2 linked regions of the Mus musculus genome follow. The protein of the gene in region 1 purifies or fractionates together with the protein of each later gene. This does not show direct contact. Links are inferred from orthologs where the notes say so. Each region holds a gene or a part of one and is shown on either strand. Other genes may lie near its edges.

Region 1 (8,139 bases):
AGTGTTTATTTCAGAAGGCTCTTAAATAACCCTGTAAAGTGAGTGAGTTAGGGCCACAGCATGGTGGTAGAGCGTACAGCATGTGCAAGGGCCTGGATTTTATTCAGAACACTACAAAGAAGAAAAATAAATTATTTCCAATATACAAACTGTTGCTGTGATAAAACACAATGACCAAAAGCAACTTGGCGGTGGAAGGGCTTATTTGGTTTAGCTTCCTGATCACAGTTGATCATGGAAGGAAGTTGGGATGGAGCCTGGAGGCAGGAACTGAAGTACATTCCTTGAAGAGCTCTGCTTCCTGGATTGTGTTCTTATATGACCCAGGACCACTTGCCCAGAGGTGGAAACACCTACTGTAGGCTGGGTTATCAAGCATTAATCAAGAAAATGCCCCCACAGGCATGCCCATGGGTTAATCTAGTGTGAGCATTTTCCTTCCTTCCTTCCTTCCTTCCTTCCTTCCTTCCTTCCTTCCTTCCTTCCTTCCTTCCTTCCTTCTTTCCTTCCTTCCTTCCTTCCTTCCTTTTGCTTGTTTGGTTTTTTTGTTGTTTTTTCAGACAGGGTTTCTCTGAAGCCCTGGCTGTCCTGGAACTTGCTTTGTAGACCAGGCTGGCCTTGAACTCAGAGATCAACCATCTCTGCCTCTGGAATGCCGAGATTAAAGGTGTGTGCCACCACTGGCCAGTTTAGTATGGGCATTTTCTCTGTTAAGGGTCCCTCTTCCCAAATGATTCTAGCTTATGTCAGGTTGACAAAACACTAAGCAGCAAAGGAGCCTATTTTAATAACCTTTCATGCAGTTTACCAAAAAGATTTTTATTGAAAGCTCCAGTGCTTGGGAGGCTAAACCAGGATTGTAGCAATTATGGGCCAGGCTAGGCTGTAGTCCAAGACTCTGCATCACAAAAAATGTGAAGTGCCTATTGTTGTTTATACATGTACCTAAAGGGCAGGTTGATGTATTAGTGTTTCCTTTAAATAATGTTCTGTGATGTTTGGGATTGTATCAGCTCAGGAAAACCTAGTAAGTCCAGAAAGTGCCAGAAAACAGCTTTTAGTTACAACAAAAAGTAGAAGATGTGCCAAGAATAACAAACAAGCTAGGCATGCATATCACCAGCATTTAGGAGGTAGAAGCAGGCGGATCAGGAGTTCAAGGCTACATGATGAGTTGAGGAAAGCCTGAGCTACATGAGGTTAGGTGTTAAGAAGCTAGGGGTGAGGTCTCGGGAGATGGCTCAGTGATTAAGACTCTTCCAGAAGAGTTCTCAGTACCAGTGGGCAGCTTACAACTATCTGTAACTCTAGTCCCAAAGGATCCAGTGACCTCTTCTGGCCTCTCTGGCCAAAGGGCACACACATGGGTCACATACACATATAATGAAGTTTTAAAAATGAAAGAAACTAGTAGAAGCCTCCAAAGATGATAGGCTGTGCTGTACATCTATACTCCCAGCACATGAGAGGCTGAGGCAGGGGGATTACCTCAACTTCAAGGCCAGCCTGGACTGTATATAGAGCAATGTCCTGTCTTAGGAAGAAAAGAAGGAAGTGGGGGGGGGGGGATTGGGGAGAGCAAAAGCTGACAGAGGGTTCCTTTCCTTCCCATGATCTCATCTGTGTAGCTTAGCTTTGCCCTGCTGCAGGACCATGCCCAGGAATGGCTGAAAAGGATCTGTAGAACAAAACATAGAAGGGAGGACCTAGCACTTTACGTTAGAGACTACCTGTGTGCTCTGGAGGCTGTTCACTGTTCACAAGATGTCTTGAAACAGATGGGGAAATGCCCTTCATTAGTTTGGCTCCTACAGGCCCAAGAACAAAGCTACTAAAGTATTTCCCACTTTCATTTAATAACTCACAATCCATTTTTATGGCAATAATTCTATTTACTAATGTGGATTGTACAATGATGCTAAGTAAATTTAACTCCTTTGGTAACTGTTACTTTTCCTTGTCTATTTATTTGAACTACAAATAGGATTTTGATAATAATTTTGTTAATATTTTCTATCATAAAAAGGTATCTGGAGAAAAGTTGTATTTTAGTGATATTTGATTCATACAGCTCCTGCTTAGACTCAGCTTTTTCTTAAGAGTAAAAACAATCGCAGAAACCTCTCCTGGGGCAGATTCAGGGGGTCTTCTTTAGAGAGAAACCTGTGGAACTCTAATACTGTTTTTGTGAGATGGAATCTCATGGCCTGGGCCAGCTTTAAAGCAGCATTGTACACAAGAAAGACGTTTAACTTGTGACTCAAACTAAGATCTCCTGAGCCACTGCCTTCTTCTGTAACCAGGTCCTTAATAAGGAGCAATTTTGATATTGTGGTTTACCTTGAAGTAGAGCATTTGATTGGGATTGTGTGAGAAATTACTTCAGCTTTCTTATATGAGAAGAACTGTTTCATCTAAACTAAATTTATAATTTTTTCTCTCTCTAAACTTCCATTCCCATTTAAATTTAAGATTCATAATCGCTATGAAGGCAAAGATGTTTCAAAACATAAGCGGAATCTGGCCATAGCAGGCGGTGTCACCCTGTCTGTAATCGTGTCTCCGGTGGTAGCTGCAGTGACTGTAGGTAAGAATGGGCTTTACATCTTAGAAAGGTATTTTTAACTACTATGTTGTTGCTAAGAGTATTACTTTTAAAATGAAGAAGCAGTTTAAGTAGAAAACCTACAGAAGATTTCTCAAGTAACTTCATTAAAGTACTGTATACTGGAGAACCTAGTTTTAAGGCTGGGGCTTTAGTTCAGGGTTTCAGCGCTTCCCTCAGACATACACATAAGGCCCTATTTGGTCCCCAAGAACCGGTCAGGATAACTGATTGAGTAGCCCTTCTCCTCCACTTGCGTTGAGGAGCTTGTACTTAAAAAGTTCACAGACTCTTCTGTCCCTCATGGATACCCGAAGGCTACCTGGGAGTCTTGTATTTGCTGTATTCTAGCCAGATCTTCAGAGCTCTGTATACCTTCTCCTGAAATAGACATCATATTTCTGTGGTTTATTTTTGGTTTCTAATGACTTGATTTTACTCCCTTCTAGGCATTGGTGTTCCCATCATGCTAGCTTATGTCTATGGTGTGGTCCCAATTTCTCTCTGCCGAAGTGGGGGTTGTGGTGTCTCTGCGGGCAATGGGAAAGGAGTGAGGATTGAGTTTGATGATGAGAATGACATAAACGTCGGTGGGACTAACGCAGCCATAGGTGAGTCCTCAGACAGGAAAGGACTCGTGTCTTCATTATACCGTCTCCCTTTACTAGGCTCACTCTCCCTCTTCTCTCTTCTTCTCTTTCCTCTTTCACTCTGAGACAGGGTCTCACTGTAAAGTCTTGGCTGGCCTGGAACTTACTGTACACAGCAGGCTGGCTCTTGTTCCCATGTGATGGGGTTAAAGGTCATACGTGACAGACGGCTTGTAGTTTTCATGCAGAAGCTCAGCTGTGACAGGAGCTACCCAAGGCAGGAGTGAGTGAGAGAGAGAGAGAGAGAGAGAGAGAGAGAGAGAGAGAGGTGGTTCTGGTGCTTAACTCTTACTGAGAATGCCCTCTGGAAGGTAGAACCTTTGCCTGCACTGCTGTGCTCGGTACATTGTGACGTCCTGAGAAAAGGATGTGAGGAGAAATGAAAACAGTTACAGGTGGCCGATAAATCAAAACATTGTATTATTCAAAGAAATACGAATTAGAACTGTCATGGGCAGAAGTACAAAGAACCAAAGGCTTTACATACTGCCAGTAGAGTGTCAGTGATCAGCTTGCTTTAAACAGTGCTTTTTCTATACCCAGCAGTTTTTGTCACACCTGTTTTGTACTTTATGTGGATCTCTACAAGTGTCCCAGCCAGCTCCTCAGAACCCTGTCACTTTACTTCTGATTAGCTTCTCTTGAAATCTCACAATTGTCTACATGGAGAGCAGGGTGTCAGATGCCCTTGTTAAGGTCCAACTCCTACCCTGACTATCTGCATACACCCCTTCCCATCCTGTCTTACCCCACCTCTCCTCAAAGATGACAGTTACACTCCTGTTTCTAGGCTTTTAAACTTGTGGTTGCCTCTGCCTGGAATACTCTTCTCTCAGATAATTCTATGGCATACTTTTTCCCTGCCTTACAAATGCGACCTTATAAGAGGGCTTCATGGTCATATCCTAAAAGCTGTGTGCAGGGCTTACACATGTGTGCCACCATCTCTCCTTACTCTCTTACCTCCAGTGGTTCTGATAGCTTTGTTACACTATGATTGGATGTGTAATAGAAACCCAAATACTGGCATAAATAAGTAAATTCCTCAATACAAAGCATGTGAATAGTACTGTAAAATTACAACATAATGCTAACATGTCTTACAGTAGTTATAGACAATTAGAACTATAAACTATGAAATCAACTTCTTTCCCCATCTTTACTGATCTAGAAAATAGGATCTCTCACTGGAACCCCATGCTGGCCAGGGAGACATATTAAATAGTTCATTTAAAATTCCTACAACTTCTGGAATTAGCCAACAAAATAAGAAAATGACATCTTCAATTTAAGGCCAGTATCAAATTGAGCTGCACACCCTGAACTAGTTCTCTTTATGCCTAAGCATGGATGTAGTTTGTCCTTTGTAGTCTGAGATGATGTAGGAGTTGAAAGCCAGGAACATGAGGAAGGGGTCACTCCTATTTCATTTCTTGAATTATTTTACATTCAGATACAACATCAGTAGCAGAAGCAAGGCACAACCCTAGCATAGGAGAGGGAAGTGTCGGCGGCCTGACTGGCAGTTTGAGTGCAAGTGGAAGCCACATGGATCGAATAGGCACCATTAGAGACAACCTGAGTGAGACAGCGAGCACCATGGCATTAGCTGGAGCTAGTATCACGGGCAGTCTGTCGGGAAGTGCCATGGTAAACTGTTTCAACAGGTAAGTAAGAGCTGTTTGCTTTGTTTTGTTAAAGACCAGATATTAATTAGATGAACAATTTAAATACAAAGCATGATAATTATCCTAAGGTTAAAAAATAAAATTTGGGGAAAGTTGATAAGATTTTTTTGTTGTTGTTTTTTGTATTTTGTGTTTTTTTACTGTACTTGATACTGATGGAATAAAAACTAAGTCCTGAGGAATAACATTGCCCCTGTTAAAGCTCACCTAATTGCTGGAGCTGTGTGAGTGAAGGGAAGGCCATGACTTGCCTGGTCCCTGCTTCTGTGGGACAGACTGAATGTCCGAGGGAGGGAGGGAGACTTGACCCGCCGGTGCCCCAGATCCTGACACCAGCCTGGAGCAGTCAGTCGCCCTGCACCCTAAAGTGACAATGACCATCTCTCACTAAGTCTCACTCATACCCATAGAGATACAAGGAAAAATTAACATAATTATCTTACCTTGTTTTGTTTGTTTTTCTGATTCACCATTTCTGTTTTAGCTTTTTTATGTGAAGGAAGGTAGATGAATTAAAAGATAAATCAGTTTAGTTTGGGTAGTTTATAGTTGGACAGAAATTAATTGTAGTCGTATATATTGTTACCTCTTATTACACAATCAGATGTGGGCTGAAGTTGTTTATTAGAACCCTTTCAGTATAGAATTTTTTTTTTCATTATTATTTGAGATGGAGTCTCACTATATAGCCCTGGCTAACCTAAAACTCAACATATAGGCCAGGCTGCCCTCAAACTCAAATGATCAGCCTGCCTTTGTCTCCTAAGGGGATAGGATTAAAGATGCTTGCTACCATATGCAGTTAATAGAGGATAATAATTTTTTTAATTACTTGCTGATTTTTTTATGTTTATCAGTCAGTATATTCTGACTTTGTATTGTGTATTGAAACATGACAAAGGACTGTATCCTAGTGAAAATGAAGGAGAGCTTTAAGATGTTTTTGTTTGTTTTTCTCCTTTTGGTCATGTTCTCTTGACTCTCTTGGGCGGATGTTGTTCAGTATACCACATTATTATCTGTATCGTCAAACAAATGGGAACCGAAGAGTTGCAGTGTCTAACACTTCATTACTGAAGCTTTTATCTGACTTATATATAAAGATAGGCATTATGATTGCTAAGCTATAAATGATGGAGGGCTTATATAACCTTTCCCTTTAAGGTTGGAAGTACAAGCAGACGTACAGAAAGAACGGTGTAGTCTCAGTGGAGAGTCTGGCACAGTGAGCTTGGGAACAGTTAGTGATAACGCCAGCACCAAAGCAATGGCGGGATCCATTCTCAACTCCTACATCCCTCTGGACAGGTAAGAAAGCGTGCTTCTTCCTATAAGATCAGAGCGTTTTTTAAAATTTAAATTAAAAGGAATTATCCCTGTCAGTGGGCACAGTCTCTGAGAAAACAGTGAGCTGTTCAGAGGAAGAACTCCGTTAAGGGAAAAAGTAACTGTGGTTGTGAAGAGCAGGGAGGAGAGGCCTGTGGTATAGAACTGTGTGGCTGTGAAGAGCAGGGAGGAGAGGCCTGTGGTGTAGAACTGTGTGGCTGTGAAGAGCAGGGAGGAGAGGCCTGTGGTGTAGACACAGGCTGAATGATGAAAAATGTCCTGAGGTAGGAAATGCTGATGGCTGTGCCCACAACAGAAAAACAGTAAATGTACCTACTGCTGTTTTTAAACGTGAAGCATTAGCCCTACCAGACCTGAGACCCTGCGTTTAATTAACCCACAGCCTGACCTCCTGAGCAAAAGTTTGAAAAAAAAGAAAGAAGAAAAGTAGAGAGAGACTTCAGAAAACTGTTAATAACATGCATTAACAGTGGTTAGATTTAGATGAAACTTGGAGAGATTGTAGAAAGTAGGTCTGCCTTGCTTCTATCGCTGGTACTCCAGCTTCTGTGTGCCAGGCTGCCCAACGGGGAGAGCCTTCCTTGACTCAGGTCAAAAAGCACAGGTACTTTTTGTAGTGTGTGCACCAGAACCTTGGTCTTGAATCTCTTGTGTAGGTTGTCCTTGTATGATACTCCAGGGTTCTATCTGTTGTACGTAAGGGCTTCTCCATGCACACAGGACATAGCACACACATAGTCACTTGAAGTGCCCAGCAGAATTTCAGGGAAATGGTAGCCTGTGGTCCCTGATAAACAAGGAGAGAAGATCTGTGCCCATGCTTTCTTCAGTGACATGACCTGGACTGTTCACTGGCCCATTATTATCCTTACTGACGCTTAGATCCACATTTGGTGCCACAGAGTTGCTAGTCCATCCCTCATTGAGCACACCAGGATCTCCCCTGTCACTTGGTTGAGGGGCACAGGCACGCCCCCTTCTTCCAACACTGTCTTTGATTTTTAGAATCACTACTTTCATTTTCACTCAGTGCTTCTTCATAATCATCACTTAAATCAAAAAGAGAAAGGTTAATCCTTGCTAAATTCTCCCTCCTCAGAGTAAGAATTGTGTAAAATATCACCACTTGTTGAACTTAGCAGTGAGTTGACCTCATCCATTTACCCATTGAAGTGCTCAGTTCATTACGTTCTTGCTTCATGGTCAATTTTCCCCCTAAATCACTTCAAAATACAACCCAATCAGACATTTGCAATCAGCTAACATCATGCTAGCTCAAGACTTAGCAGCAGTTGGGTGTTATTTTTATCTCTTGGTAACAAGGCCTCTGCTATTCTATGCTGGGAACTGGGTTTTACAGACGTTTATGTTATTCCCACTATAGTGGGAACTTGGCCTGATTGGGTTGGAGAGAAGGCTCAGCAGTCCGTACCCCTTTTCTAGAACACCTAGGTTCAGTTCTCACTGAGCCCACGTTAGTGATTCATAGCTACCTGTAACTCCAGTCTCTGGGGGTCTCATGCCCTCTTCTGGCCTCTGCTGCCATATTCAGATACTCTCCTGGCCTCTGCTGGCACCTGCTCGCTCATCGCTCATGTGTGTGTGTGTGTGTGTGTGTGTGTGTGTGTGTGTGTGTGTGTGTGTGTGTGTATTTTAAAAGAAGTATTAAGATGATCCTCTTGGCAGTGTTCATAGTGATGTACACCTTTAATCCCAGCACTCAGGAGGCAGAGGCAGACAGCTCTCTTAAGTTCTAGATCAGCCAGGTTGCATAGTCAGTTACACCCTGTCTCAAACACAACAAGGACGGTCCTCTTACTTGTGGTTTTGTTAGTAGAATGTAATCTGC
Region 2 (7,711 bases), on another chromosome or scaffold:
TCTAAATTAGACTTCTTTGATGGGGGAAAAAAAAACCACTTATGTAGTATTTGCCAATACTTGGAGTTTTATTCTTTTGACTTAATATTTTGATCCTAAGGTAAAGGCTAGTAGTCTTAATGTTCAACTAAGAGATTTGTGTTTGCAGGTTAGGGTTTTTACTTTTTTCCTATTGGCTTTGTGGTAATGTTGCCCTAATTAATTTGTAAAAGAGAGATTTGTTAGGGGAAATAATTGGATTCCCAGTATTACGCACTATACTACCAATTACCTAATTGCTTGAGCATTACTTATTTAGAAGGTTGAATGTGTTGTTTATAATCATCTCATTGGAATTTCCAAGGTGTAAAAACGAGGTTAATGTATCCAACGAGAAACCCTTTTATAGACTAGGTACAGTATACCATTTCTTGTAAGCTTTGCCTGTTGTCTTTACCATCTTCAATAGCCTAAGAAGTACACCAAACCTTTGCTACTACACCTGAAGCCAAACCAAGACTCTTAATAGTATTAAAAAGCACTGACATAAAAGTGTGTTGTCCAAGCCCAGAGGGCAGCACACCTTTAATCCCAGCAATGGCAAAGGCAGGTGGATCTCTGAATTCAAGACCAGCCTGGTCTACAGAACAAGTTTGGGACAGCCAGGGTTACAACAAACCCTCTCTCAAGAAACCAAAAGAAGTTTACCCAAATGATTTTTGCCAGGTGGTAGTGGCAAACACCTGTAGTTCCAGTCCTCAGGCAAGTGGATCTCTTGTGAGTTCAAGCCCAGCCTGATCTACAGAGTGAATTCCAGGACAGCCAAAGCTATACACAGAGAAACCCTGTCCTGAAAAACCAAAAAGAAAGGTGGTGGTGGTGGGTGTTGTCTAGAGTCGAGGACTTAAATGTTAGGTATTTATTTACAGCAGTGGTTCTCAACCTTCCTAATACTGTGATCTTCTAAAGTTACTGATCCCCAACCACGAAATTATTTTTGTTGCTATTTTATAATTTTGGCTACTGTTATGAATTGTAATATAAATATCTGATTGGAAGAATAGATGATATACAACCCCAAAGGGGTCACGACCCACAGGTTGAGAACCTCTTACAGTCAAAGTTCTTTTCATCAAATTACATTAGAAGACAAGATAACCTAGCCAGTAGACACTTTCTGCCAACCCTGATGGCCTATTTGACCCCAGGGACAATAAAAGGTGGAAGAATATGAACTTGTTTTCCTCTTAGTGCACACACCCTAAAAATGATTTTTAAAACTACAAGGTGCTAGGTTAAACAAAAAACTTGTCAAACTTAGCTTTATCGTACCTAGAAGTTCCTTTTTGTATGTTCCCATTTGACATTTAGATCTGAGCTCTTCCTAATGATGGAAGAAATGTGTCTGTAGCTTTGCCAGGCTTCAGCTTTCTGGTGACCCTACTTAGGCTTTTAAGTCCTTATTAGAGTATCATAAAACATGCATCCGACGATGATCCAATGTCAGATTCCAAGGACAGACTTGCAGCTTGTCTTTCCAACTAAAAATACTGAGACGTGAGCCACTAAATGGTTTGTGATTACCAAGTTAATCCGCATTGAGTCATCCCCCACATCAAAACTACATTAAGGAAATCAGTTACATAGGATTTACCTGGAACTTCAACATAACTACTTGAAAAAGCATTATGAGCAATCTTAGATTGGAAATCTAAACTTAAAAATTTTAAGGTTGGAAACACCAAATTATGTGCTTTTCCAATTTAGTTGTCTCTTCTTCAGTGACTTCAGTATATCAGTGAGAACTATGGTTTACACCCAATTTGTTGAAAATACTTCAATTGAACTATTTCAGATAGTCACAAGCCTGTTAATATTTCCTTTCAAAGGCACTCTTTCTTGGGTATTAAGGCACTCAATTTCATTACCTGGGGCTATAAAAGTCGATTTAGCCAGAACCTCCAGTCAAACTTGGTGTCATTCCCCGAGCTATTGTGTTTTCCCTGAGTGCCAACCTTAAAGATGGGTGGTACCAACTTCACTTGGCTAGTAGAGCTAGCTGAGGCTCCATGTTTGCCTTCTATGAGTTTGATACAAGTTTACTAAAGGGCTTTTTCTTAAATCATGACATCTAATCCTAATACAATTTTAAAATATAAGGTTAAGTACTCTGAATCTTGAGAGCTTTCAATAATTTCTCTGATAAGGGGCAGAAAATTTTCTGCTCAAATTTTGTTTGGGCTACCACCCACCATTTTGATGGTATCACATAAAACACTTTCAAAATGAAATACTATGAGTTAGCATCATTGAGTCTGTTATTGATGCTCAATGTATAGAGCTAACTTAAAATTTTTTTTTGTACACATTAATAGGCTCAAAATAAGTGCCACACATATTTACTAACAGGCTCAAATGAGAATTTCAGCTTATCACCTGTGTAGTCTGGCAAAATATGGAAAGGCACAGAAACAGATTTGAATTCAGTGAGTTGTACACAGTCTCCATCAGCTGTCATTGCTGTCCTTAGCCCAGTCAAAGGAGTCACACAGTTACAACTCTTCAGATTACAGTTTAATGGTTTGAGGGTAGCAGATGAGTCTGAGACTCAGACCACACAGGGAATGTTTACTGCGCAATCCCAATCACTCCACAGGCCAAGCGGCTCCCAGCATTTCCAGTCTTTGTACTTTCTTCATTTCCACCTTTGCCCAAGTCATCTTGTTTCTCATGGACCTTTGAAAAGAAGAACATTTAGGTTTGAATGATCAAGTAACTAGTACTTCTTCCCAGCAATACTACAGACTTAAATACTAGCAGTTAAGAGCAGACCACTAAGTTTTTCCTTGCTAGTGGCTATTTCTAGATGAAATACTAAGACCCAAGTAACTACCAGGTACATGCTGATCTTAGCTCCTCCCCAACTACACAGTAGTCATTCTTACAAATTTCTCTATCAAAATCTCATGTTGAAAGAACTATAGGCCTACACATAAGAGGCAATTCTAAGTATCTCTACTTAGCAACAAGACTCTAAAGCTTTATTTTACAACACTTATGAATGACTGTTCTGCTTCACCAATAGGGCTGAAGAGCATTCTAAGGATAAAGGGTCAACTGCAAGGAAGGAAGTGCCTACTGAAAAGTTAGCTGCCCGAGGTGGGCAAGAGCCTTTACTACTTGGTGTTCTGCATGACCCAGATGCATCTCCCGAGGGTAACTTGGGAAGACGGCTCCCATATGGTAACCAAGCGATAACCTACAGACTTGAATACTGCCATCCATCGCAGATTTTAGACTCAACGAAATGTTGCAAGGGGGGGGGCAATCATGGCAAGAAAATCCGGCTGTTTTAGACTAAAGACTATTGTATCCTCAACTCAGATCCAGTCTCATCAAATGTAACTGCTTTCTACTGCATTTCAGCACAACAGTGTTCTTAACTGACCTAGGCAAATTAATTCTTTACTATCACAGCCAATAAAAGAACTTTTTTCCTACCCTGAACTCTTAACAATTTATGTGACTCTTTAGAAACTAGTTTAACCACCATAAAGTCATGGGAAGGTACATAACTATGTTAGAAGAAATCCTATGTATATATCCTTATATGAAAAACTTACCACCATTGTACGGCCAATGATGGAATGCTCTCCTGAGAGTGAGATCACACGATCTTCAATGGACACATTGGCCACACCGTCCTTTCCAGCAGTCACATTGCCCAGGTCTCCAACATGCCTAACATTAAAACAGCATCAGGTGGATGAACAATGATGTCTATTTCACATCACTAGAGTTCAATAACTAAGTTAAAATCTGACTAAGTCAAATACGTATGAGTGGATGAAAAAGTACACATACATTATCAACTATGATGGCTTTTCCAGACCGGCAAAGGTCTGGAAACACAAAGTTCAAAACAGGTAGCTACAGGATACCTTGACAGACAGTTCTTCAAGTTTAAAGGTAGTGCTCTGAGAAGAGTCATAATCTGGGGCTTTAGTAAAGTATGCCAGCTCCTGAGTTAGCAAAGGTTTGCTCCCAGGCCCCCATTCTAAAAACAGGCTAGCCCTTCTTTATTTAGGACTTTCCTAAGGTTTCACATACAAATGGAATCTCAACTAGTTTTCATTATCTGCATTAGCGTCCTATTATACAATGATTTACTTTGCCAGTGACTGACAGTACTGTTATCCATGATATTTTCTGTATTGGTTCCTTTTGGCACTTGTATTAGTTCATCTTCAATAAATGCTACAAAACCAAATCACTTTAAGAGTCCACATTTGTCAGCTCCTTCACCCAACAGAAGCTATTCTAGCACGTGGGGTTGTGGGAGTGAGTTGGGTGAATGGAAACAAACACAAAAGCAGAGGCAGGAGGCCATGCAGTTCTGTCTTACTGGGGTCCTCCACAGACCCCTCTCCTCCACCATGCATACAGAGCGTGCTGCTCACCTCTCTTCATCCGCCGGGCCACCATGTTTCTTAGAGTGAGGATTAAAATGAGGTCCTGCACTGGTACAGCCTATTTACCAGAAACCAGCAGTCAGATTATGAAGTAAACCCCTATATGTAACAACACAGGCATTCTTACAACCTCCAACATAGCAAACACTGACCTGGTATGTGCTGGGGCGATAAAAACAGGCAGCAGCGCCCTGGTGTAAGTAGCTGCACTGTATAGCCTTACATTCTCAGGCTACCTTTTTTTCCTAGACTGTCACATTTTTCTTTTTGTTTGCTTTTGAGTTTTGAGACAGTGTCTCACTACTACAGCTCAGGATATCTGCGACCTATGACCCTCCCACCTTAGCCTTAGGGCCATGGCAGTGTCAGGACAGCATGCCTGGCTCTTGTTCCTTCCTTGTAACTGGAACAGATGTGATCTTTAATGGCACTTCTAAAGTTAAAGTCCCACATTTAAAGACCTTGGCTTTTAAGAAGGGAGCATACTTCATGATAAAAATACTTATCTTTCTAGACCATGTGCCACCAAACAGCTCACCTGTCTAGCTTTTACTTGGGGCAGGCAGACTGTTAGATGGCTTGTTCCCAAGGGCCAGGGCTGGTGTCCTCAACTCCAGGAGGTGTACCACACTACTCATGTGGGCTAAGGGATGCCAGTCACAAGGCACAGCTCAACAATGCAGCAAGTCCTTTTATATGCAGGACTTCCAGTGTTTACTCAGACCAAGAAAATAGGAACTGGGCAGGATTCTGGAAGGAGCTTAACAAATCAAAGCTACCAGGCCAGAGGCAACTCGGGGTAACTTTAGTAATTATCAAATGGGTCAAACCCAATCCTAAGTAACTGTAGAACAAATTATGGCACATAGCACACAGGTTGATGGTACATGCCTTTAACACAGCACACACAAGACTAAATTCCAGGCCACCGTGGGCTATGTGGAGAAGGGAAGAAGGCAGGGGAGAAGGAGAGGAAAGGAAAAGGCTCTCGCAACATGGATGAGGCTCTTAAATGACGGTAAGCAAATTCAGATCATTACTCCAATATGGTAAAAGTTCACTAACTGCAATTTAAGCCACTACTTTTTACTGACTTGATTCTAATCCCAAATAGAGAAAATAAATCTTACTTAAGCATTTATATTGAATCTTCAGTTTTTGTCACTTCTGTCCCGCTATGCCTCTCATGCTAAGGCATGGTTGTCCTTAGACACTCTGCCTAATGCATCCATCCTCAACGCCCAGCTCCAAACACCCAAATAAGCACCCAATAAACACCCAGAATAAGCAAGGTGCTGCTTAATTATAATTACAATGAAGAAAAATCACCTTCTTTACCTTCCCACACTTAAGGAAGCAAGCAATACTTGATACTAAATAAAATACTTTTGTGGCTACTTTCCAAGGTTGACCTAAGTGGTCATTTTAACTTTATCTAAAAGAAAAAGAAAACAAACGAGATAGTTTTAAATGGTTAGTAATTGGGTCCTGACTCAGTTCCTTTCCATCACTGGTCACTAGCCAGCCTAGGACCTACCTTGTGTATTGTCCCCATACTGATGGACGTGGAACCCATGCTGGCCTTCAGTTAATCCTGTAATTTGTCCTGACAACACAACTGGTTCACCGCTTGCCTTGATTTAAAAAAATACAAAAATGAAGACATCAAGTTTGAGTGTAAATACTCCTGCACCAGGGCTGTTGCTGGGTTACACCCTAACCAAGCACAGTAAAAAGCTCAAGTCAAAACACACAACAGTGAAAATCAAACCTATGTTCAGATCCAAGTAGACCCACTTCCTACAGGGTGGCTCTGGAGACGCTCAGCTCTAGGCCTCTCTCTCCCTGTCACACTTCTCCTAACACTTGCTGCCAGATGCCATGTGTGCAGGCACCTGGACTGAACAGCATTTAGAAAGCACCAGGTGGAACAAACAGGGGCTACTGAATGCCAGGCCTGGGGAAGAGATGGCTACTGCACTGTCAGACTTGACTCTTACAGAACACTGGCTGCCGAGAACCCTGTTCTCCACATTCAGTGATTTTATCAGTTCCCCTATTTTTATTTAGTGGTCAGAAAATGCCTTTGTCCTACTGCCTGTGGAGATCCATTTGGGTCTAACCAGAGCTACCTTAAAAAAAAAATCTCATTAGCTATCCAAATCTAGAAAATTTGCCACTTAACAAAAAAGAAAAGAACACCCAAAATTCAAATTAGTACTGCTCCAGAAAGTGTAGCAATAGGGAGAAAATGTAAGAGCAACCGACCAACAAGCAAGGACAATCATTTTTTAGGTTTTTTTTTTTTTAAATGTCCAACTTTTGCAACAGAATAAGGGAATATGAACTTTGGGTAGAAAAATCTGATTCTGAAAAGTTGGCAACAGGTTAAATCAACCAGCTTTGATTACAACTGCCAATCTGGAATGCTTAACTATCGTTTCATTGGGTACAAAGGGCACCAGCGATGTGTAGTTTGCAGCGTCACAAAAATAGTGCGAGCTGCTCTGGCATGGCATGGTGGAAGATGACAGAAACCCACACACAGGGGTAAGACCCAGCCGAACTTCGTCTTTCTCACAGTGAATTACGTGGGGAGGAGAAAAAGACAAAAACAAAAAACTTCCACAGGAAAACAACAAAACGCATTTCAATGCCAAGAAACTGCTGGAAACGAGGCTAGTTACGAAAAACTCTAAATTGCCGTTATCAGTTCTCGTCGTAAACCAAACACTTGGGATTCACTATGGTGTCTGCCTTCTCACACGTATGTCCACCACTTCAGAGAGCACATAACGCTCATTTATCAAATATTCTCTCGGGATTAAGGTGAATACAACAACGGTAACCTCCCTAAGGCTCTGGACACAACCTTACCACACACATCTTCCCTGTGACGCATGTGTTTTTGCAGGGTCACAGTATTTTCGAAAATATCTCTATGTACTTTTCCAAAATGTGCTCAGAAACTCGCTGTGGTAGAAAAAACCCACAGCCGGGTCTCTCTCTGGAGTGCAAAGCAAGGGACGGCTGTCCAAGGCCATCTCTTTCTTTCCGCCTTGCGACACGACCCTGACCTAGTACAGAACAGCCCAGGACTTTGCTTTAAAGTGCCGCAAACGCGTCCTGCGGCCTTAGTCCGGTCTGGCACCACCGGGTTCAAATATTCTTACAACAATCGCAGCCGGTGGCCACGGGGCTCTGAGCCTGTGGGACACGGACACCGGAAAAGCAGCAGCCCCAGAAGGATAACGGATGCC

What was found.
Region 2: the proteins of Rnf19a (region 1) and Sod1 purify together in Homo sapiens (affinity purification with western blotting, with the first as the bait; 3 studies listed by BioGRID). This does not show direct contact. The link is inferred for Mus musculus from reciprocal best matches to the Homo sapiens genes RNF19A and SOD1.

Annotation. Positions count from the first base shown.
Region 1 is NC_000081.6:36,242,199-36,250,337, reverse strand, and holds part of Rnf19a (E3 ubiquitin-protein ligase RNF19A), read left to right. Parts: intron 1-2,472; coding exon 2,473-2,587; intron 2,588-3,054; coding exon 3,055-3,216; intron 3,217-4,708; coding exon 4,709-4,922; intron 4,923-6,107; coding exon 6,108-6,251; intron 6,252-8,139. UniProt on the Homo sapiens protein: E3 ubiquitin-protein ligase which accepts ubiquitin from E2 ubiquitin-conjugating enzymes UBE2L3 and UBE2L6 in the form of a thioester and then directly transfers the ubiquitin to targeted substrates, such as SNCAIP or CASR.
Region 2 is NC_000082.6:90,221,154-90,228,864, reverse strand, and holds the end of Sod1 (superoxide dismutase [Cu-Zn]), read right to left. Parts: intron 6,086-7,711; coding exon 5,989-6,085; intron 4,510-5,988; coding exon 4,440-4,509; intron 3,721-4,439; coding exon 3,603-3,720; intron 2,716-3,602; coding exon 2,608-2,715; 3' UTR 2,532-2,607; downstream 1-2,531. UniProt on the Homo sapiens protein: Destroys radicals which are normally produced within the cells and which are toxic to biological systems.